3 linked regions of the Anolis sagrei genome follow. The protein of the gene in region 1 binds, or shares a complex with, the protein of each later gene. Links are inferred from orthologs where the notes say so. Each region holds a gene or a part of one and is shown in the gene's direction. Other genes may lie near its edges.

Region 1 (6,951 bases):
GGGGCTCACATGTCTTTACACTAATGCACAGAGCATGGGAAATAAACAAGACGAACTCCAACCTTTAGGACAACACCACAAATATGATATCATAGGGATCACTGAAACCTGGTGGGATGACTCCTATCGCTGGAATGTAGATATCGAGGGGTATAACCTCTTTCACAGAAACCGAACAAAGGGGAGAGGAGGCGGAGTAGCCTTATATGTCAAAAACTCTTATGCTGCAGAAGAGATTCAAGACAGCAATCTGGGAAACCAGCTTGAAATCATCTGGATAAGAATCAAGGGAACTGGGACTCAAAAAGATGTCGTTGTAGGCGTCTACTACAGACCCCCAAGCCAGGAGGAAGAACTTGATGAAGTCTTCTGCCAACAGTTGACCAAACAGGCACAGAGAAGAGATGTAGTAGTCATGGGCGATTTCAACTATCCCGATATTTGCTGGAAAACAAACTTGGCCAAGAGTACAAGGTCCAACAAATTCCTCGCTTGCCTTGCAGAAAATTTCATGGTCCAGAAGGTAGAAGAGGCAACAAGGGGATTGGCTACTCTTGATCTCATCCTAACAAATGCGGAGAACCTGATCAATGCGGTCGAAGTGGTAGGATCCTTAGGGGCAAGTGACCATGTGCTCCTGCAATTTGAGGTACAAAGGAAGGCCGAAACTAAGACAAGACAAACCCGCATTTTGGACTTCAGGAGAGCTGATTTCCAAAAAATGAAGGAAACGCTGAGCAGCATTCCGTGGACACAGATACTAAAAAACAAGGGAGTTACGGATGGATGGGAATTTCTCAAGAGTGAAATACTCAAGGCGCAATTGCAAACCGTGCCAACAAAGAGAAAAAATAGGACAAGTGCAAAGAAGCCAGAATGGATGTCCAAAGAACTTCTAACTGTGCTAAGACACAAAAGAGACATGCACAAGAAGTGGGAAAAGGGAGAAATCACCAAAGAAGAATTCAAACAAATAGCCAACACCTGTAGGGAAAAGGTCCGCAAGGCTAAAGCAAAAAACGAGCTCAGACTTGCCAGGGACATTAAAAACAATAAAAAGGGCTTCTATTCTTATGTCAGTAGAAAAAGGAAAAACAAGGAGGCGATAGGACCTCTTCGAGGAGAAGATGGGGCAATGCTGACAGGGGATAGGGAAAAGGCAGAACTACTTAATGCCTTCTTTGCCTCGGTCTTCTCACAAAAAGAGAGTCTTCAACCTCAGCAAGATGGAGTGGATGAGGGATTGGAGGACATCCAACCCCAAATTGGGAAAGAAGTCGTCCAGGAATACCTGGCCGCTCTTAATGAGTTCAAGTCCCCAGGGCCAGATCAACTACACCCCAGAGTATTGAAGGAACTAGCGGAAGTCATTTTGGAACCATTGGCAACCATCTTTGAGAGTTCTTGGAGAACGGGAGAAGTTCCAGCAGATTGGAGGAGGGCCAATGTGGTCCCAATCTTCAAGAAGGGAAAAAAGGATGACCCAAACAACTACCGTCCGGTCAGCCTCACGTCGATACCGGGCAAGCTTCTGGAAAAGATTGTTAAGGAAGTGGTCTGCAAACACTTAGAAACAAATGCAGTCATTGCTAATAGTCAACATGGATTTATCAAAAACAAGTCATGCCAGACTAATCTGATCTCTTTCTTCGATAGAGCTACAATCTGGGTAGATGCGGGGAATGCCGTGGATGTAGCGTACCTGGATTTCAGTAAGGCCTTCGACAAGGTCCCCCATGACCTTCTGGCAAGGAAACTAGTCCAATGTGGGCTAGGCAAAACTACGGTGAGGTGGATCTGTAATTGGTTAAGTGGACGAACACAGAGAGTGCTCACTAATGCTTCCTCTTCATCTTGGAAAGAAGTGACAAGTGGAGTGCCGCAGGGTTCCGTCCTGGGCCCGGTCCTGTTCAACATCTTTATTAATGACTTAGATGAAGGGCTAGAAGGCATGATCATCAAGTTTGCAGACGACACCAAATTGGGAGGGATAGCCAATACTCCAGAGGACAGGAGCAGAATTCAAAACAATCTTGACAGATTAGAGAGATGGGTCAAAACTAACAAAATGAAGTTCAACAGTGACAAATGCAAGATACTCCACTTTGGCAGAAAAAATGAAATGCAAACATACAGAATGGGGGACAATGCCTGGCTCGAGAGCAGTACGTGTGAAAAAGATCTTGGAGTCCTCGTGGACAACAAGTTAAACATGAGCCAACAATGTGATGTGGCGGCAAAAAAAGCCAATAGGATTTTGGCTTGCATCAATAGGAGCATAGTGTCTAGATCTAAGGAAGTAATGCTACCCCTCTATTCTGCTTTGGTTAGACCACATCTGGAATATTGTGTCCAATTCTGGGCACCACAATTTAAGAGAGATATTGACAAGCTGGAATGTGTCCAGAGGAGGGTGACTAAAATGATCAAGGGTCTGGAGAACAAGCCCTATGAGGAGCGGCTTAGGGAACTGGGCATGTTTAGCCTGAAGAAGAGAAGGCTGAGAGGAGATATGATAGCCATGTATAAATATGTGAGAGGAAGCCACAGGGAGGAGGGAGCAAGCTTGTTTTCTGCTTCCCTGGAGACTAGGATGCGGAACAATGGCTTCAAACTACAAGAGAGGAGATTCCATCTGAACATGAGGAAGAACTTCCTGACTGTGAGAGCCGTTCAGCAGTGGAACTCTCTGCCCCGGAGTGTGGTGGAGGCTCCTTCTTTGGAAGCTTTTAAGCAGAGGCTGGATGGCCATTTGTCAGGGGTGATTTGAATGCAATATTCCTGCTTCTTGGCAGGGGGTTGGACTGGATGGCCCATGAGGTCTCTTCCAACTCTTTGATTCTATGATTCTATGATTCTATTTTAACTGTCATGGCTAAATGCTGTGGAATCCTGGGAGTTCTAGTTTTACCAGGTTCATTAGCCTTTTCTGCTCCCTCACCAAACTATCACTCCCATAATTCTATAGCCTTGAGCCGTTGCAGTTAAAATTGTATCCAACTGCATTCATTCTACAGTAGCTGCAGATGGATACAATAATTATGCTGCCTCCTGACTTTCAGAAAGATGGTAAAATCTTGGCTTTGGAACTTAGCATTCTCAGATTGATGATGGAATCAATAACTGTTGACTACAAGGCGGATGGGATGAATTTGTGATTTACCTTGACGAATCAGCTTTATGTAATTCTTGATCTGTATTTTAATGTGTTTTGATGTATCAATGTACTATGATGTTATTATGCTTTAGTTTATTTGCATATTGATTCTCTGTTGTTAGCCGGCCTGAGTCCCTCCTCGGAGGTCGAGAAGACCGGGTTATAAAAGCTCTAAATAATAATAATCATAATCACAATCATAATAAATAATAATAAATAATAATAATTTGCAAAGGCCTGCTCAGAAATATACAACAACAGCTGTGCCTGGATAGAGGTGTAGTGCAGTGCACGGGGGGAATGTATGCCTAGTGGATACTACGCCTTGGAAGGATGCCTGTGTAGACTCGCTCTTCCTGATGCAACTATTTGCACAGCAAGACTGGTTTGAAACTGTATTAGTCAGCCAGTGTAGCCGAGGCCTAAAAGAGTTCTTCCACCATCCTTTTGTACTCCAACTCCCAGAACCCTGGGCATTCAGGGAGGATGCATCGCCCCAAGAAGCCGAGCTGTGGACCCGTGGTTCGCTCGCAGCACCACGCAGGCGCACGGTCTCGCGCTGCCTCGCCTGCCCGCCTGCCGCAGCCTCCAGTGCCAGCCCCCTGGCTCTTCTTGGGGCGCGTGAAACGCTCAACGGGAGGCAGGCCCTGGGATTGGCCGAGCCGCTTCCGAAGCCCCGCCCCCTCGGCAGGAGCCAGCCGGGCGAGGCGGCGAGGCAGGCAGGCAGGCGGGAGCGGGCGCCGCAGTCACGTCTCGCAGCCGCGCGGGGAGGGTTCCGCGATGCTGGCCTCGGCGCAGGACAGGCCCACCTCGTTCCGCCTCTCCTCCTCCTCCTCCCCCTCGGCCCCTTCCCCCTCCCCTTCGCCCCTCTCCGCCGCCTCCTCGCCAGCTGTCACTCCGCAGAAGCCCTGCTGCAGCCACGGAAAGGAGCCCGGCGGAGCGGTAAGCTGAGCCCACGCTGCGTCGCGGTAGAGGAGATCCAGTAGAGAAGCAAAAGGGAGGGAGAGAGGGGTGGAGGAGGCTTGGAGCCAGGCGCTGAGGCCTGGGCGAGGAGCCATCGCCTTGCCCTCCAAGCCCTGACCTTTGGCGCTGTGCTCTCCCCCTTGCCAGGCCTTCCCTTTCTTCCCAAGGAGGCCGCCTTGGCCTGAGCGCCAACCCCACCCGCGGGCGCCTCTTTCTGGAAGCGCTGTCCACCCAATCCTCCCTGCCTCCTCCTCCTCCTCCTCCTCGGCATCCTTCCCCGGGCGGCGCCTCGGCCTTCCCTCCCAGGATCGGGGCCTGGCGGGCCATTGGGCGGCTATTTTAAGCCGCGCCATCTGCTCTCCCTCGAGAAGAGAGTGGGATTTGGACAGGGCTCCTTTCCGTCCGGCGCCTCCGCCAAAGGCAGCGCTGCGTGACCTTCCGGGAGGCAAAGCACGCCTCGCACGAGTCGGAGAGAAGGCCCACGGCTCTTCTTTGAAGGCTCGCCTCGCCCGGATCGCGTTGCTTCCCACGTTTCCGGGTCCCCTTTCGGCCTCCGTCGCCTCTTCCTCTCATTCTCCCTCTGCCCCCCCCCCCCGGGCCGCCCTCTAAACGCCCTTCATGCCCTTGGAGCTGCGGGAAGGAGGTCTGCCGCTTCCTCCTCTCCTCAGGGATGCTTCCTGCAGAGAAGAGGAAGCTCCGAGGCTTTCTCTCCCAGATGCCTCCCGCACTGGCTTCCAGTGGACTAGTAAGAGAGAGAGAGGGCTGCAGGCCTTCGGAGCTATCAGGAGGCAAACATGAGACCGGACTCTCTAGTAAAGTTCAAAAAGCACTTTTAGTGGTTTTTAAAAAATTAATTTCCGTGGAAGAGAGTTAAAGAGTTAAAACTCAGTCGATTTGCTGGATTTTTAAAAAGTGCTTCCCTTGGGAACAATGTGTACCCTCAAGACACTTCCAATTTTATCACCAGGTTGTCTTGGGAAGATTTATACAGAAGGGTTTGAACTTCACTCTCCTCTGAGAATGTGTGGCCAAAGTCATCCAGTGGGTTTCCATGACTGAGCAGGGGCTTCAATCCTGATCTCCAGAGTCATGGGGTACATCTACATTATTGAATTAATCTAGTTTGACACCTGCTATGGTTCAGTGCTATGGAATTGTGAGGGTTGTAGCTTTACAAGGTCTTCATCCTCCATTGCCTTCAAAACACTTTCAACCTATCACCAGGGTTTCTTCGGAAGATTTGTACAGAAGGGAGTCAGCTTTGCCTTCTTCTGAGGTTGAGAGTGTGTGACTTGCCCAAAGTCATCCAATGGATTTCCATGACTGATCAGGGGCTTCAGTCTTGGTCTCCAGAGTCATGGGCTGCATCTGCTTTGTAGAATTAATGTAGTTTGACGCCTATGATTCTGTGCTATGGAATTGTGAGAGTTGTAGCTTTACAAGGTCTTCATCCTTTTCTGCCAAAGAGTACTGATGCTTCACCAAATTACAAATCCCATGATCCCTTGGCATTGAGATATAGCTGTTAAGGTGGTGTCAAACTACTATAATTCAACAATGTAGATGCATCTGTAGTCCAACATGCAAACCATGTAACTGGGTCATAGTTGCAAACATTAAATATGATATTAAAACAAAATGGAGAAAGCTTCTTCAGTATTCATTAGGCATGGTTAAGAGAAAACTAAGTACCTTCAAATTTGACTGGATGTAATGTGAAAGACCTTTTTATCAATGTTACACAAAATGATTTGATGATACCTCAGATTATTTGGCACTGCCTTTAGGACTCTTCCAATGTGACCTGCTTTACAGTTGATTTGTGTGAAGCAAGCAATTAGGGTTGGATTTATTTGTTGCCCTGGGCTGAAAGCTACTGTCATTCATAAACAGTAGATTTACTGCAGCTGACAGAGTTTTAACATTTTTTGGATGTTCATACATTTCTTTTTCTAGCCTTCAAGTTGAGGTGTCATTCTCTGTTCTCTCTTTTTAGTCCTGGGCTTCTTCCAGAATTCTATTGCAGCAAAATTCTCTCATTCAGCCATGTTGTGCAGATGTAGATTTGTTGGGATTAACCTCCCAGTTGTTGTGCTTAGGACAGCATAGCAATCTCGGTTTGATTCATTATTCAGTGAGCCAACTAAGATTCTTAGAAGTAATGACAGAGGGGTACTCTTAAAGAGTTGCTTAATATAATTTAAAAGTCGATGGTGATGTTGCAACATGTTATTTGTCATGTCATGACAGGAAGTGTTATGGGAGTGAATATTTCAAGAATAAAACCCTATTCCTGGTAGTTCTGATTCCCCTGTTCTCTCCCGTATCCCCTTTTCATCTCTGGTGGTACAATGGGTTAAAGCCTTGTGCCAACAGGACTGCTGACCGAAAGGTCGGTGGTTTGAATCCGGGGAGCATCTCTCAGTTCCAGCTTCTCATGCAGGGACAGGCCTATCACAGGATGTTAAAATATCCAGGCATACCCTAGGCCTGTGATGGGCAACCTTTTGAGCTTGGTGTGTCAAAATTTGCTAAAAACCTGAGCATAACTTGGGTGGGGTGTCAACTTCGAGGGAACCCCCCCCCCCAATAATATTGCAATATTTATAGTTTAAATAAGAAAAATGTATATTCCATGCTGAGTTATGCAGTGAACAATACTCAAATGTGCAGATGCTAAATTTGTAGAGCCTTTTACAAATTTAAGGATGGAATTAGATTGGCTCTTATAAGGTGTACTTCTCTGTATGCGGCCGCATGTGGCCGTGTGTCATCAAAAATAGCCATGCGTGTCAGTGCTGACACGCGTGTCATAGGTTCATCATCATGGC
Region 2 (7,996 bases), on another chromosome or scaffold:
AAGGATGGTAAAAACTTGGCTGTGGGACCAAGCTTTCGGGACAGGGCAATAAAGCGGCAATAGGAAAAATGACCAGGCCAATTAGATTTGACACGGATGTCTAGGACGGTTTTAAATGGTGTATTTTAATATTTTGATAAATGTTTTTTTAATGTTTTTGTATTGTATATGAATTTGTGTCCCGACATTGAATGTTTGCCTTATATATGCTGTGCTCTGCCCTGAGTCCCCTTCGGGGTGAGAAAGGCAGAATATAAATGCTTAAAATAAATAAATAAATCTATATAAATAAAATGTAATGTTCGTTTGTGGGATTAACAGAACTCAAAAACCACTGGACGAATTGACACCAAATTTGGACACAAGACACCTATCAGGCCAATGTAGGGCCTTCACTAAAAAAAAATTGATTTTGTCATTTGGGAGCTGTAGTTGCTGGGATTTATAGTTCACCTACAATCAAAGAACATCGTGAACCACACCAACCATGGAATTGAACCAAACTTGGCACACAGTTCTCCCACGACCAACAGAAAATACTGAAAGGATTTGGTGGGAAGTGTCCTTTGGTTTTGGAATTATAGTTCACCTACATCCCAAGATCACTGTGGACTCAAACAATGATGGATCTGGACCAAACTCTACAAGAATATTCAATATGCCCAAATGTGAACACTGGTGGAATTTGGGGAAAATAGAATCTTGACAATTGGGAATTGTAGTTGCTGGGATTTATAGTTCACTTTCAATCACAGAGCATTCTGAACCCCATCAATGATAGAATTGGGCCAAACTTCCCACAGCAACGCGTGGCAGGGGATGGCTAGTAAATAAATAAAAATTTAATATTCGTTTGTGGGATGAACATAACTCAAAAACCACGGGACGAATTGACACCAAATTTGGACACAAAACAGATAGCAAGCCAAAGAGTGACCATCCCTCATAAAAACACTGAAAAACACATAAGAGACTTAAAAAGCCATTAAAAATTACAACACATGTGCAAAACCACATATATACCATATATACACATATCCACAAATATACACACACAAAACACATATACACAGACCAGGTCACAGCAACACATGGCAGGGGACGAATAATAATAATAATAATAATAATAATAATTTTTTAAAAAACTTTATTTATACCCCGCCACCATCTCCCCAAGGGACTCAGTGCAGCTTACATGAGGCCGAGCCCACAATACAACAATACAAGCAATAACAATACAAAGCACTTCAAATAAATCTCATACACAGAATAACACAAACATTAACAATAGCACAATACACATTTAAAATAATAATATATTATATTATTGATAATATTGTTATATCTATCTATTTAGCCATATATCTATCCCCTCTCTCTTCATCCATGTAGAAAGTCAACATGGCATAATGGGCCAACTTCGGCCCTTCAGGTGTTTTGGACTTCAACTCCCACAACTCCACAAAAAAGGAATTGTGAGAGTTGAAGTCCAAAACACCTTGAGGGCAAAGTTGGCCTATGCCTGGTGTAGTTGCATCTCATGTGTTGCCTTGATTTCTATAAGCCTCAAGCAAGCTAAGGGTATGTTATGTAATCAACTCCAGGCTGATGAAACACCATAGTTACAAGACCATATAGCTATCTTGTTATATCTTGCATACCTTTGCATTTCTGGAGACCTACGGTAAAAGCACAAGGGTGACTTGCACTAACTCTGTTTAAAGTCCACAACAGTACACCTTGAACCGGTTTCTGTGCCTTTCGTCAGCCGCCGTGTCAGGTTCTTCAAGTCACTGGGGGAAAGGCCGTTCTCCTTCTTCCGCATCTGAACTGTTTTGCAAATGGAATTGGAATAATTCTTCACCTTCCTCTCGGAACTGGGCATTTATTAATCAAGATTCAATAGCAGAACTTGGAAAGTTGCAATGTATCGAGAAAACTCCCAGAACCATCCCAAAGAGCCATGCTTTTTATAACACCATCCTGGAAAGTTTATTATAACGAGCTTTGGTTGTCATAAAAAAGGTATGACATTCAGTCCAGTCGTGCCCGACCCTGGGGGTTGGTGCGCATCTCCATTTCTAAGCCAAAGAGCGGGCGTTGTCCTTAGACACCTCCAAAGTCATGTGGCCAGCATGACTGTGTGGAGCGCCGTTACCGTCCCATCGAAGCGGTACCTATTGATCTACTCACATTTCCATGTTGTCGAACTGCTAGGTTGGCAGAAGTTGGGGCTGACAGTGGGAGCTCACCCGGCTCCCCAGATTCAAACTGCCAACTTTCAGTCAGCAAGTTCAACAGCTCAGCGGTTTAACCGGCTGCACCACAGAGGGCTTCTTGGTTGTCATAGCTCAAAGGTTTTTCAAGTAGGAAAACTCCCAACAGGAATTAGTTTGATAGTGCAAATGGGTATATTAAATTTTAACATTTCCCTATTGTGTGTTTTAATTGTCTTGTTATTTTAAGTTATGAGCTAGTTTTGAGTCTGTTTCAGGTTTTAAAAAATCAGGATATTATTATAATCCTTATTTATAATATTTATTTATACCCCACTTTATCTCCCTCGGTGGCGCAGTGGGTTAAACCACTGAGCTGCTGAACTTGCTGACCAAAAGGTCGCTGGTTCAAATCCGGGGATCAGGTGAGCTCCCGCTGCTAGCCTCAGCTTCTGCCAACCTAGCAGTTAAAAAACATGCAAATGTGAATAGATCAATAGATACAGCTCCGGCTGGAAGGTAACTGCACTCCATGCACTCATGTTGGCCACATGACCTTGGAGGTGTCTACAGACAACGCTGGCTCTTCGGCTTAGAAATGGAGACGAGCACCAACCCTCAGAGTCGAACACGACTGGACTTAATGTCAGGGGACAACCTTTACCTACCTAATACATTAAATATAATTACTACTGATAATATCATGTTTTATTACGGTATATTTGTATTTTTTTGAAATGATTTTATTGAAGATTAGTATATATTTACATACATGGAAAGTGGGGGAACATTTAAAAGATAGGAAAATGGGAAATAAAGAGAAGAGAGAAAAAAAGAAAAAAAGGGGGGGTTTGATTTCCATTCCATCTTCATGGTTTCTTCTCACTTTACTTTTTATAGTTGTTACATAATTTTCCGTTCAAATTATTATGGTATATTTGTATTTTTTAAGTCGTATTTTTTATTGTGAGTCGCTTTGGAAAGACATAAAAAATAAACAAATAAAAAAATAAAAAATAATATTAATAATATACAAACATTAAAACAGTATTAAATAGGATCAATATCAAAAACAATTCAGTTTAGATCCATAAAAATATTACGAGAATAATAATGATGATGATGATAATGATAATAAATTACTACTGGCTGCATACTACAGAGCTTGTAATGAGAATAAACAAATAAAAATAAAATAATAATATTAATAATAATATACAAACATTAAAACAGTATAAAACAGGATAAATATTAAAAACAATTCAGTTTAGATCCATAAAAATATTACGAGAATAATAATGATATATTTTTTTTGTCCTGTCATGAGTTGCTCCTGTTGTGAGAGAATTGGCCATCTGCAAGGACGTTGCCCAGGGGATGCCCGGATGATTTGATGTTTTATCAACCTTGTGGGAGGCTTCTCTCATGTCCTGGCATGAGGAGCTGGAGCTGATAGAGGGAGCTCATCCGCCTCTCCCCGGATTCGAACCTGCGACCTGTCGATCTTCAATCCTGCCGGCACAGGGCTTTAACCCACTGCGCCACCGGGAACTGCAATAATGATAATAATAATAATAATAATAATAATAAGTATGCAGCCAGTTGTAATTAATAATTATAATAATTATAATTATAATTATGATAATAATTATAATAATAATTACAACTGGCTGCATACTACAGAGCTTGTAATAAGAATAAACAAATTAAAATAATAATAATAATGATAATAATATACAAACATTAAAACAGTATTTAATAGGATCAATATTAAAAACAATTCAGTTTAGATCCATAAAAATATTACGAGAATAATAATGATATATTTTTTTGTCGTGTCAGGAGTTGCTCCTGTTGTGAGAGAATTGGCCATCTGCAAGGACGTTGCCCAGGGGACGCCCGGATGATTTGATGTTTTATCATCCTTGTGGGAGGCTTCTCTCATGTCCTCGCATGAGGAGCTGGAGCTGATAGAGGGAGCTCATCAGCCTCTCCCCAGATTCGAACCTGCGACCTGTCGATCTTCAATCCTGCCGGCACAGGGGTTTAACCCACTGCGTCACCGGGGGCTGCAATAATGATAATAATAATCATAATAAGTATGCAGCCAGTTGTAATTAATAATTATAATAATTATAATAATAATTACAACTGGCTGCATACTACAGAGCTTGTAATAAGAATAAACAAATTATAATAATAATAATAATGATAATAATATACAAACATTAAAACAGTATTTAATAGGATCAATATTAAAAACAATTCAGTTTAGAACCATAAAAATATAATAATAATGATGATGATGATGAATTACAACTGGCTGCATACTACAGAGCTTGCAATGAGAATAAACAAATAAAAATAAAATAATAATAATATACAAACATTAAAACAGTATTTAATAGGATCAATATTAAAAAACAATTCAGTTTAGATCCATAACAATATTACAATAATAATAATAATAATAATAATGAATTCCTCCTGGCTGCATACTACAGAGCTTGTAATGAGAAACCCATGTGGCAGGGCGGCCATCTTGGGAGTGGGCTGCAAGGGGCGGGGCCAAGAGGTGACCTCTGTAATGCGAGGCCGAGGGGCGGCTCTCTTGAGAGCGGGAGGAGGGGGCGGGGCCAAGAAGCAGCGTCGTGCGTGCCTCAAAGTGGCGGCCATTTTGAGAGCGGGCTGCGAGACGGGAGGGAATAGGAGGGCGGCCATCTTGAGAGCGGGCCGAGGAGAGGAAAAGAGGAGCGCAGCGTGCGAGGCGGAAAAGCGGCCATCTTGGGAGTGGGCTGCGAGGGAAGCGAGCCGCCAGCTTTTAAGATGGCGGCGCCGGCTCCTTTTCCTAGTCTCCCTTCTGTTTTCTCCTGAGGTGAAATCCTCATTTTTTCCCTCATCGAAAGGACTCATCCGAGGATGGCTTCTTTGCTGCGGCTTCTCCTCCGGGGAAGCTTCCGAAGGTTGGGACCGAGGGCTTTTCTGGTGAACGGGGTTTTTCGTGGCGTCTGCTCCGGTCCGCCTCTCAGGAAAGGCCCAGGCTGCGGCCTTCAGGTAAAGGAGGGGGGAATCCACACTTGGGCCCTTGGCTTCCTCAGGATCGAATTAATGTTGTCTCTATGATGGGGAAGTTCCTTGTAGAACTACAAGTCCTTCAGGCATTTCCAAATAGGAAATCTGTAATAATTTTAGTATGAATAGTAATGATGTATCGTCAAAGGCTTTCATGGCCGGAGTCACTGGGTTGTTGTAGGTTTTTCCGGGCTATATGGCCATGTTCTGGAGGCAGTTTTTCTCCTGACGTTTCGCCTGCATCTATGGCAAGCATCCTCAGAGGTAGTGAGGTCTGCTGGAAGTAGGAAAAATGGGTTTATATATCTGTGGAATGACCAGGGTGGAACAAAGGACTTTTGTTTGCTGGGGCTAGCTGTGGATGTTTCAGCTGATCACCTTGATTAGCATTCAATGGCTTGGAAGTGCCCGGGGGGAATCCCTTGTTGAGAGTGATTTTATGTGCCTGTTTGTTTCCCCTCTGTTGTTTTGCTGTTGTGATTTTTGAGTCCTTTCATACTAGTAGCCAGATTTTGTTCATTTTCATGGTTTCTTCCTTTCTTCCTTCCTTTCTGATGAACCAACCTGGACACAGCATATTATTTGAGAACACAGAAGTGCTGGACCACTCTCACAACCACCATGTCAGACTACACAGAGAAGCCATTGAAATCCACAAGCATGTGGACAATTTCAACATATGTCATCTCATATGTTCAAAATATAGCTGCTTCGATGTGTTGTCAAAGGCTTTCATAGCCGGAATCACTGGGTTGCTGTGAGTTTTCCCGGCTGTCTGGCCATGTTCGAGAAGCATTCTCTCCTGATGTTTCGCCTGCATCTATGGCAGGCATCCTCAGAGTTTGTGAGGTCTGTTGGAAACTAGGAACATGTGGTTTATATATCTGTGGAATGACGTCCAGGGTGGGAGAAAGAACTTGTCTGTTTGAGATAGGTGTGAATGTTGCAATTGGCCACCTTGTTTAGCAGTTAATGGCCTTGAAGCTTCAAAGTCTGGCCACTTACTGTGTGGGGGAATCTTTTGTTGGGAGGCGATTAGCTGGCTCTGATTGTTTCTTGTCTGGAATTCCTGTTGTCTGGAATTCCCCCGTTTTCTGATTGTTGTTCTTTATTCACTAGTAGCCAGATTTTGTTCATTTTCATACTTTTATCCTTCCTGTTGAAATTGTTCACATGCTTCTTGTGGATTTCAGTGGCTTCTCTGTGTAGCCTGACATGGTGGTTGTCAGAGTGGTCCAGCCTTTCTGTGTTCTCAAATAATGTTCTGTGTCCAGGTTGGATCATCAAGTGCTCTGCTGAGGCTGACTTCTCTGGTTGTATAATAATAACAGTGATAATGAGAGTAATAATAATAATAGTAATAATAGCAGTAGTGATAATAGTAGTAATAGTTATAATATTAGTAATGATGATAATGAGAATAGTGCCAATAATGATAATAGTAATAATGATAATAATAGTAATAAAAGTAATAGTGATAATAGTATTGATAGTAATAATGATAATAGTAATTATTCTAATCGTAATAATAATAGTCTCCAAGCTTGGATTCTGTAATAATAGAATAATTAATAATCTATCTATCTTCTGTACATCTTCTATCTATCTATCCACATAATAGAAGTGAAAATGTGTATGTGGCAGAGGTGTCCACTTACACACAGATTCCCATTTCTCAGAAAGAGCTAGGTTGGGGAGGGAATGACACACCCACGTGGGAGTTGTAGTTCGCCCTTCATTCAGAGCACTCTGAACCCCCTCAATTATGGATTTGGACCAAACTTGTTACAAAGACCCAACATGCCCAACCACGAATACAGGCAGAGTCTGGGGGTGATTGCTCTGGGAGCTGTAGTTCACCTGCATCCAGAGAAACGGTGGCCCTCACCGACAATGGACTGGGACCACACTTGTCACAGAAAAGCCCCAAGACCAACTCAACATACCATGCTGTTGGGGTTGGTGGGAATTGACCTTGATTTTGGGAGTTGTAGTTCACCTGCATTCAGAGAGCACTGAACCCAGCCAACTTTGGATCTGGACCAATCTTGGCACACAGATGCAATATCGCCAACTGTACATACAGACCTGGTTTGGGGAGGATTGACCCACGATTCTGGGAATTGTAGTTCACCCACATCTTTATACATTTTCCAAGAGGAGCATTCATAAACAATGAAATTGAAGACTGGCTTTTTTCTAATCAATAGTGTTACTAGTTAACTAAATGATTTTACCTAACCCCCCAAAACAAACAATGCCTTTTTTCAAATAATCGGGGCATTGCCAGGTACCCTGGCTAGTAATAGTAGCAATAATGATAATGATAATAATAATAATAATAGTAATGATAATAATAATAATAATAAGTAGTTAATGTTTTACCTACTTGTTTTTCAATAGAGCCTGGATTCTATCACAATAGAATAATTAATAACATAATAAGATACCTTGTAAATCATTAATAATAATGATAACAATAGTAGTAATGATAATAGTAGTAATATTAGTAATAATAATAGTCTGTAAGTAGTTAATGTTTTACCTACTTGTTTTTAAGTAGAGCCTGGAGTCTATAATAATAGAATAATTAATAATAATGTAATAAAATATCTTGGAAATCATTAATAATAATGATAGTAATAGTAGTCATGATAATAGTAGTAATAACAGTAATAGTAATACTCTGCAAGTTAATGTTGTATTTG
Region 3 (7,577 bases), on another chromosome or scaffold:
ACTCTTGCAGCACCTCTCCTGACGCATAGAAATGATGCGCCAGGAGAGTGGGGGGGGGGGGGGGGAGAGCGATTTTCCTCCCCCCCCCCCCCCCCACTCTCCTGGCATGTCATTTCTAAGCACCAGTTGAGGTGCTGCATGAGTGTACTGGAGGCCGGGTAAGTTTTCATTACTTTTCAGAGGTGCTGCAAGAGTGTACTGGAGGCAGGTCCCCTGATGTTCTGCTGGGCTAGTCCCAACAGAACATGTGGACACCCACCCCAGAAAGCGAACACTTTCTGGGGTGGGTGCAGACAGGCCCCCAGGAACATCCACGTTTTAAAAACGCGAATGATCCTGAGATAAAGGGCTGTCTGGAACCGCCCACACAAAAACTCTCAAGGTAAAGAACAACTAACTGAATATAACAAGTTCCTGTGGAACACTCAGAAAACAGGGGACCACAGTCGCTTCCAACTCTGTTAAATTAATATCTAATGTCAGCCAAAGTTCTAATAATTCTGCCATCTCTTTCTTAAAATACATGAAAGCAGGGCTCGAACCTGAAATCAATATGTTGTTTATTTGTTCCAGTTGCTTCCGACTCTTTGTGACCTCATGGATCAGCCCATACCAGAGCTCCCTGTCGGCCATCAGCTCCTTCAAGGTCAAGCCAGTCACTTCAAGGATGCCATCCATCCACCTTGCCGTTGGTCGACCCCTCTTCCTTTTTCCTTCCATTTTCCCCAGCATAATTGTCTTCTCTAAGCTTTCCTTTCTTCTCATGATGTGGCCAAAGTACTTCATCTTTGCCTCTACTATGCGTCCCTCCAGTGAGCAGTTGGGCTTTATTTCCTGAAGTATGGACTGGCTGGATCTTCTCACGGTCCAAGCAGGATATACTTTAGTTTAAATACTGTGGTAAAGCTTCTACTTACTCTGCTTATACACATTTACCAACCCTCACAAGTACCACTTGTCCATGGGTTCAGAGGAGGCCAGAGGGAAAGGAGATCCAAGCAGCAGGCACTGAGGCGACCAAGGGGGCTCTTCACATCTTTCTGAGAGGCAACATAGAATCATAGAGTTGGAAGAGACCTCATGGGCCATCCAGTCCAACGCCCTGCCAAGAAGCAGGAATATTGCAATCAAAGCACCCGGCAGATGGCCATCCAGCCTCTGTTTGAAAGCTTCCAAATAAGGAGCCTCCACCACACTCCAGAGCAGAGAGTTCCACTGCTGAACGGCTCTCACAGTCAGGAAGGTCTTCCTCATGTTCAGGTGGAATCTCCTTTCTTGTAGTTTGAAGCCATTGTTCCATGTCCTAGCCTCCAAGGAAGCAGAAAACAAGCTTGCTCCCTCCTCCTTGTAACTTCCTCTCACATATTTATACATGGCTATCATGTCTCCTATCAGCCTTCTCTTCTTCAGGCTAAACATGCCCAGCTCTTTTAGCCACTCGTCATAGGGCTTGTTCTCCAGACCCTTGATCATTTTAGTCGCCCTCCTCTGCACACATTCCAGCTTGTCAACATCTCTCTTCAATTGTGGTGCCACAATATTCCAGGTGTGGTCTAAACAAGCCGGAATAGAGCGGTAGCATGACTTCCCTGGATCTAGACACTATGCTCCTATTTATGCAGGCCAAAATCCCATTGGCTTTTTCCCCCCGCCCCATGACATTATTGGCTCATGTTTAACTTGTTGTCCACGAGGACTCCAAGATCTTTTTCACATTTACTGCTCTCAAGCCAGGCGTCCCCCATTCTGTATCTTTGCATTTCGTTTTTTCTGCCTAAGTGGAGTATCTTGCATTTGTCCCTGTTGAATTTCATTTTGTTAGTTTTGGCCCATCTCTCAATCTGTCAAGATTGTTTTGAATTCTGCTCCTGTCCTCTGGAGTATTGGTGTTGTCTGCAAACTTAATGATCATGCCTTCTAACCCTTCATCTGGGGATCACAACCAGACACAGTGAAGACATCTGCCCTTGCACTATGCTACTCTGCTGATGAGTATGCATGCCCAGTGTGGAACACATCTCACCACACTAAAACAGTAGATGTGGCTCTTAATGAGACATGCCGCATTATCATGGGGTGTCTGCGCCCTACACCACTGGAGAAATTACACTGCTTAGCTGGGGGAAGTAGCAGCCAATAGTGAAAGGACCAAGGAAGAGACATCTCCAGCTCATCCCCTGTTTGGGTATCAACCAGCACGTCAATGACTTAAATCTAGAAATAGTTTTCTAAAATCTACAGAGACACTCGCTGGAACACCTCAGCAAGCGAGAGTCCAAAAGTGACAGGCTCAAACCCAGGACCTCAACCAATGGCTGATACCAAATGAGAGACTCCCCCCTGGGCACACAGAAGACTGGGAGACTTCGAAGGCGCTGAACAGACTGCGCTCTGGCACCACGAGATACAGAGCCAACCTCAAGAAATGGGGCCACAAAGTGGAATCCACGACATGCGAGTGTGGAGAAGAGCAAACCACAGACCATCTACTGCAATGCACCCTGAGCCCTGCCACATGCACAATGGAGGACCTTCTTGCAGTAACACCAGAAGCACTCCAAGTGGCCAGCTACTGGTCAAAGGATATTTAATCAACTACCAAGCTCACACATTTTGTATTTGTCTGTTTGTTTGTTTTGTTCTGTTAGAAATGTAATACAATTGACTGGTTGCCCTGACACGACAAATAAAAATACCCTCCATCTAAGTCAGTGGTTCTCAACCTGGGGGTTGTGACCCCCAGGGTGGTCATCTGGCCATTTCGGAGGGGTCGCGAGTCCGCCTCCGTTGGCCCCACCCCATTCGGCGTGGACGCGAGGCGGGCAAGGGGTCCTCAGCACGAGGCCTGGCCTCGCGCAAAGCCCCCTCGCCCGCCTCGAGCTTTCACCAACGTCGGAACCCCTGAGCGGATCGCAAGGGGGGTGTCAGATGAGTCACCAAAGACCATCTGAAAACACGGTATTTTCTGTTGACCATGGGGCTTCTGTGTGGTAAGTTTGGCTCAATTCTATCATTGGTGAATTCAGAATACTCTGACTGCAGGTGAACTGTAAATCCCAGCAACTATAGCTCCCAAATGTCAAGGTCTATTTTCACCAAACTACACCACTGTTCACGTTTGGCCATATTGAGCATTCATGCCAAGTTTGGTCCAGATCGATCAGTTCGAGTCCACAGTGCTCCTCTGGATGTAGGTGAACTACAACTCCAAAACGCAATGCCCATCAAATCATTCCAGTATTTTCTATTAGTAATGAGAGTTCTGTATGCCAAGTTTAGTTCAATTTCATCATTAGTGGAGTTCAGAATGCTCTTTGAGTGTAGGTGAACTATAAATCCCATCAACTACAACTCCCAAATGACAAAATCTCTCCCCCCCCCCCCCACCCTACCAGTATTCAAATTTGGGCCTATCGGGCATTTGTGCCCAATTTGGTTCAATGAATGAAAATACAACCTGCATATCAGATATTGACATTACGATTCATAACAGGAGCAACATTACAATTATGAAGTAGCAATGAAAATAATATTATGGTTGGGGGTCACCACAACAAGAGGAACTGTATTAAGGGGTCACAGCATTAGGAAGGTTGAGAACCACTGATCTAAGTCACTAATAAAGATGTTGAACAGGACTGACCCCACTGCCCTGAACTCCCCAGAGGAGGAAGCAGGGTCTCTCTGCTTCTCAGCAGAGTAAACAAGTAAGTACCTTGTCGATGGCTTTCATGGCTGGAATCACTGGGTTGTTGTAGGTTTTTTTCGGGCTATATGGCCATGTTCTAGAGCAGGGGTCCACAAACTTTTTAAAGAGAGGGCCAGGTCATAGTTCCTCAAACTGTTGGAGGGCCGGATTATAATTTGGAAAAAAAAAATGAATTCCTATGCAAACTGCACACATCTTATTTGTAGTGCAAAAAACACTTCAGAACAATACAATACAATAAAAAAGAACAATTTTAAGAAATATAAACCATTGTATTTCATTGGGAAGTGTGGGCCTGCTTTTGGTTGATGAGATAGGATTGTTGTTGTTGTTGTGTGCTTTCAAGTCATTTCAGACTTAGGTTGACCCTGAGCGAGGGCTGAGTAAATGACCTTGGAGGGCCATATCCGGCTCCCGGGCCGTAGTTTGAGGACCCCTGTTCTAGAGGCATTCTCTCCTGACGTTTTGCCTGCACGTATGGCAAGCATCCTCAGAGGTTGTGAGGTGAGGTCACAACCTCTGAAGATGCTTGCCATAGATGCAGGCGAAACGTCAGGAGAGAATGCCTCTAGAACATGGCCATATAGCTCGAAAAAACCTACAACAACCCAACTACCTTCATCACAACTGGGGCCTTCTCCTCCCAGAAGAAAGCCGACTCAGTGCGTTATCACAGTAGAGCTGAGTGGGGATTGTAGTTGAGTGAGACCCAGACCCTTAGAGAGGCCCCTCGCAGGAGATGCCTGTGGGGAAGGCCCTCTCGCGCGCCGTCCAAACGCCCGCCTCGTGACGTCACGGCCACGCGCCGTCGCCGAAGGGAGGCGGGGAGGAGGGCTTATAAAAGAGGCCTGAAGCGCGAGGCCGGCTTTCTCAGCGCGCTTGAGAGAGGGACGCGGGAAAGGACGCTTCCTCTCAGGTCTCTCTGTCTTCTGCCCGCCGCCATGCTGGCCCTGCGCTCCGCCCGCAGTCGCCTCCTCCTCCTCCCGCTGCTCCGCTCCGCCACCCGGGAGTGCAGCGACAGCAGCAGCAGCAGCCGCCGCGGCGAGGACGACGACGACAACCCCCTGGTCTTCCTGGACGTGGGTGCCGACAACCAGCCCCTGGGCCGCGTCGTCTTCGAGGTGCGCGCGCCTTCTCTTTGCCTCTCCTCAGGTGCATCTACACCAGGTATGAGCAAGCTTGGGCCTTCCAGGTGGTTTGGACTTCAACTCCCACAATTCCTAACAGCCGGTAGGCTGTTAGGAATTGTGGGAGTTGAAGTCCAAAACACCTGGAGGGCCCAAGCTTGCCCATACCCTGGTCCACACTATGGAATGACTTGCTTTGCCCTGGCCTTATGCTGTGCTATCCTGGGAGTAGTTGCTAGGTCTCCAGCCTTCTCTGCCCCAGAGGGCTAGCCCCTCAATGAAATACAACTCCACACAGAGCCATGGCAACTCAAGTGGTGTCAAAACCGCATTGATTCCACAGGGTATTCGCACCCTCCCTCCTCTCCAGGCGCCTTTCCTCTGGGCGTCCTCTCTCTTCAAGGTGCCCTTCAAAGGTGCCATTGGAAACCATAACAATGTTCTGAATCAGGGATTTATTGAACTTTATTTATTTACAATATAACTAGCCGCCCCCTGCCACGCATTGCTGTGGCCCAGTCTGGTGATCTTGAAAATAAAGTAATAAGAAGTTGTTGGTTTCTAATATATGTAATTTCTTTATACTTGTGGGTAAACAATGTTTCTTGTTTCTTTGTCAGTGTTGATGCAGAGGTTGTCTGGTTTGCCTACTTTGGAACATGCAACATATATTTGCCCTTTCAAATCTCTAGTACTATATCTGTCATATACATATATATGTATGTGTGTGAATCTCATATATATGTGTGTGTGTGTGTGTGTGTGTGTGTATGGCTGGGTGACTTTGTGTCAGGAGGGCTTTGATTATATTTTCTTGCTCTGGTGAAGGGAGTTGGAGTGGATGGTCTTAAGGCAGCATTTCCCAACCTGGGGGTCGTGAGGGGGTGTCAGAAGGGTTACTAAAGACCCCCAGAAACTATAAATCCCAGTCAAGGTCTATTTCTGCCTAAACACCCATCTGTGTTCATATTTGGACATATGGAGTATTCATGCCAAGTTTGGTCTAGATTTTTCAGTTGTTTGAGTCCACAGTGCCCTCTGCATGTAGGTGAACTACAACTCCAAAACTCAAGATCAATGCCCACCAAACCCTTCTAACGTTTTCTGTTGGTCATGGGTGTTCTGTGTGCCAAGTTTGGTTCGATTCCATCGTTGGTGGAGTTCACAATGCTCTTTCATTGCAGGGAACTATAAATCCCAGCAACTACAACTCCAAAATGACAAAATCGATTTTTTGAGTGATGGTAACTCCTTGGGTTAATAGGTGTCTTATGGTCAAATTTGGCAGCAATTCGTCCAGTGGATATTGAGTTACTATGTCACTCAAAACGAACAGAGCATTTATATATATATATATATATATATATATATATATATATATATACTAGCTGTCCCCTGCCACGTGTTGCTGTGGCCCAGTCTGTTGATCTGGAAAATAATGAGAAAGTGTTGGTTTCTAATATATGTTATTACTTTATGCTTGTGGGTAAACAGTATTTCTTGCTGTTTCTTTGTCGGTTTTGATGTGGAGAGTGTCTGGTTTGTCCACCCTGGAACATGCAACATATCATTGTCCTTCTTTAAGGGTCCCTTTCAAATCTATGATACTATATCTGTGAGTGTGTGAATTATATCTATCTATATCTATGGCTGGATGGCTCTTTGTCAGGAGGACTTTGATTATGTGTTCTTGCCCTGGTGAAGGGAGTTGGATTGGATGGCCTTAAGTATTTTCTGTTTGTCATGGGGTTTCTGTGTGGGAAGTTTGCCCCAATTCTGTCGTTCATAGGGTTCAGAATGCTCTTTGATTATAAGTGAACTGTGAATCCCAGTGACTACAACTCCCAAATGTCAAGGTCTATTTCCCCCAAACTCCATCTGTGTTCATATTTGGATGTATTGAGTGCTTGTGCCAAGTTTGGTCCAGATCCATCATTGTTTGAGTCCACAGTGCTCTCTGAATGTAGGTGAAGTACAACTTCCAAACTCAAGGTCAATGCCCACCAAACCCTTCCAGTATTTTCTGTTGGTCATGGGAGTTCTGTTTGCCAAGTTTGGTTCAATTCCATTGTTGAAGGAGTTCAGAATGCTCTTTGATTGTAGGTGAACTATAAATCCCAGCAAGTACAACTCCCAAATGACAAAATCATGATTTTTTGAGTGATGGTCACTCCTTGTGTTGTGGGACGTTTTGTTGCCAAATTTGGTGTGATTTCATTCATTGGTTCTTTTGTTTTTAAGGTACTCATTATTCACAGATATAGATATAATAATAATAAAACTTTATTTTTAACTTGCCCTCTCTCCCCAAAGGGACTCAGGGTGGCTTCCATAAACAAAAATGGCAAACATTAAATGCTGCGTACAACAATAAAATGAAAACATTTAAACATAGAATCGAATCAAAAAGCCTTTGGCTATAAAAACATAAATCAGTCAGTCTGGCAACATACATAATACAATTAAAGAGTTAAAATCTGTCTAAAGATATAAAAATATAGCTCTTTGGTAAATTAAAATAGTCAGTCAGTTTTGTCCCCACCAGTTGTTCCCACCAGCCGTGCTTGAGACCGGGGTGGGACTGAGAGGAGGACCCCCTCCGCTGATCACAGAATCCAAACAGATTTGTAGGTGGGGATGCCGGTTGTCAAATACTCTGGGCCCAAATGGTTTATGAAATTTATAGCCTCTCTTTCCATAGTCAAGGGCCCAAGGCGGTTTACAGCCAGTATAAACATACA

What was found.
Region 2: VDAC1 (region 1) and SPG7 share a complex: the UniProt entries of both Homo sapiens proteins name them as parts of the mitochondrial permeability transition pore complex. The link is inferred for Anolis sagrei from reciprocal best matches to the Homo sapiens genes VDAC1 and SPG7.
Region 3: VDAC1 (region 1) and PPIF share a complex: the UniProt entries of both Homo sapiens proteins name them as parts of the mitochondrial permeability transition pore complex. The link is inferred for Anolis sagrei from reciprocal best matches to the Homo sapiens genes VDAC1 and PPIF.

The regions. Positions count from the first base shown.
Region 1 is NC_090022.1:92,316,912-92,323,862, forward strand, and holds the start of VDAC1 (non-selective voltage-gated ion channel VDAC1), read left to right. Parts: upstream 1-3,861; 5' UTR 3,862-3,937; coding exon 3,938-4,099; intron 4,100-6,951. UniProt on the Homo sapiens protein: Non-selective voltage-gated ion channel that mediates the transport of anions and cations through the mitochondrion outer membrane and plasma membrane.
Region 2 is NC_090028.1:27,667,113-27,675,108, forward strand, and holds the start of SPG7 (mitochondrial inner membrane m-AAA protease component paraplegin), read left to right. Parts: upstream 1-4,921; 5' UTR 4,922-5,135; coding exon 5,136-5,270; intron 5,271-7,996. UniProt on the Homo sapiens protein: Catalytic component of the m-AAA protease, a protease that plays a key role in proteostasis of inner mitochondrial membrane proteins, and which is essential for axonal and neuron development.
Region 3 is NC_090023.1:153,127,980-153,135,556, forward strand, and holds the start of PPIF (peptidyl-prolyl cis-trans isomerase F, mitochondrial), read left to right. Parts: upstream 1-4,527; 5' UTR 4,528-4,650; coding exon 4,651-4,830; intron 4,831-7,577. UniProt on the Homo sapiens protein: PPIase that catalyzes the cis-trans isomerization of proline imidic peptide bonds in oligopeptides and may therefore assist protein folding. Involved in regulation of the mitochondrial permeability transition pore (mPTP).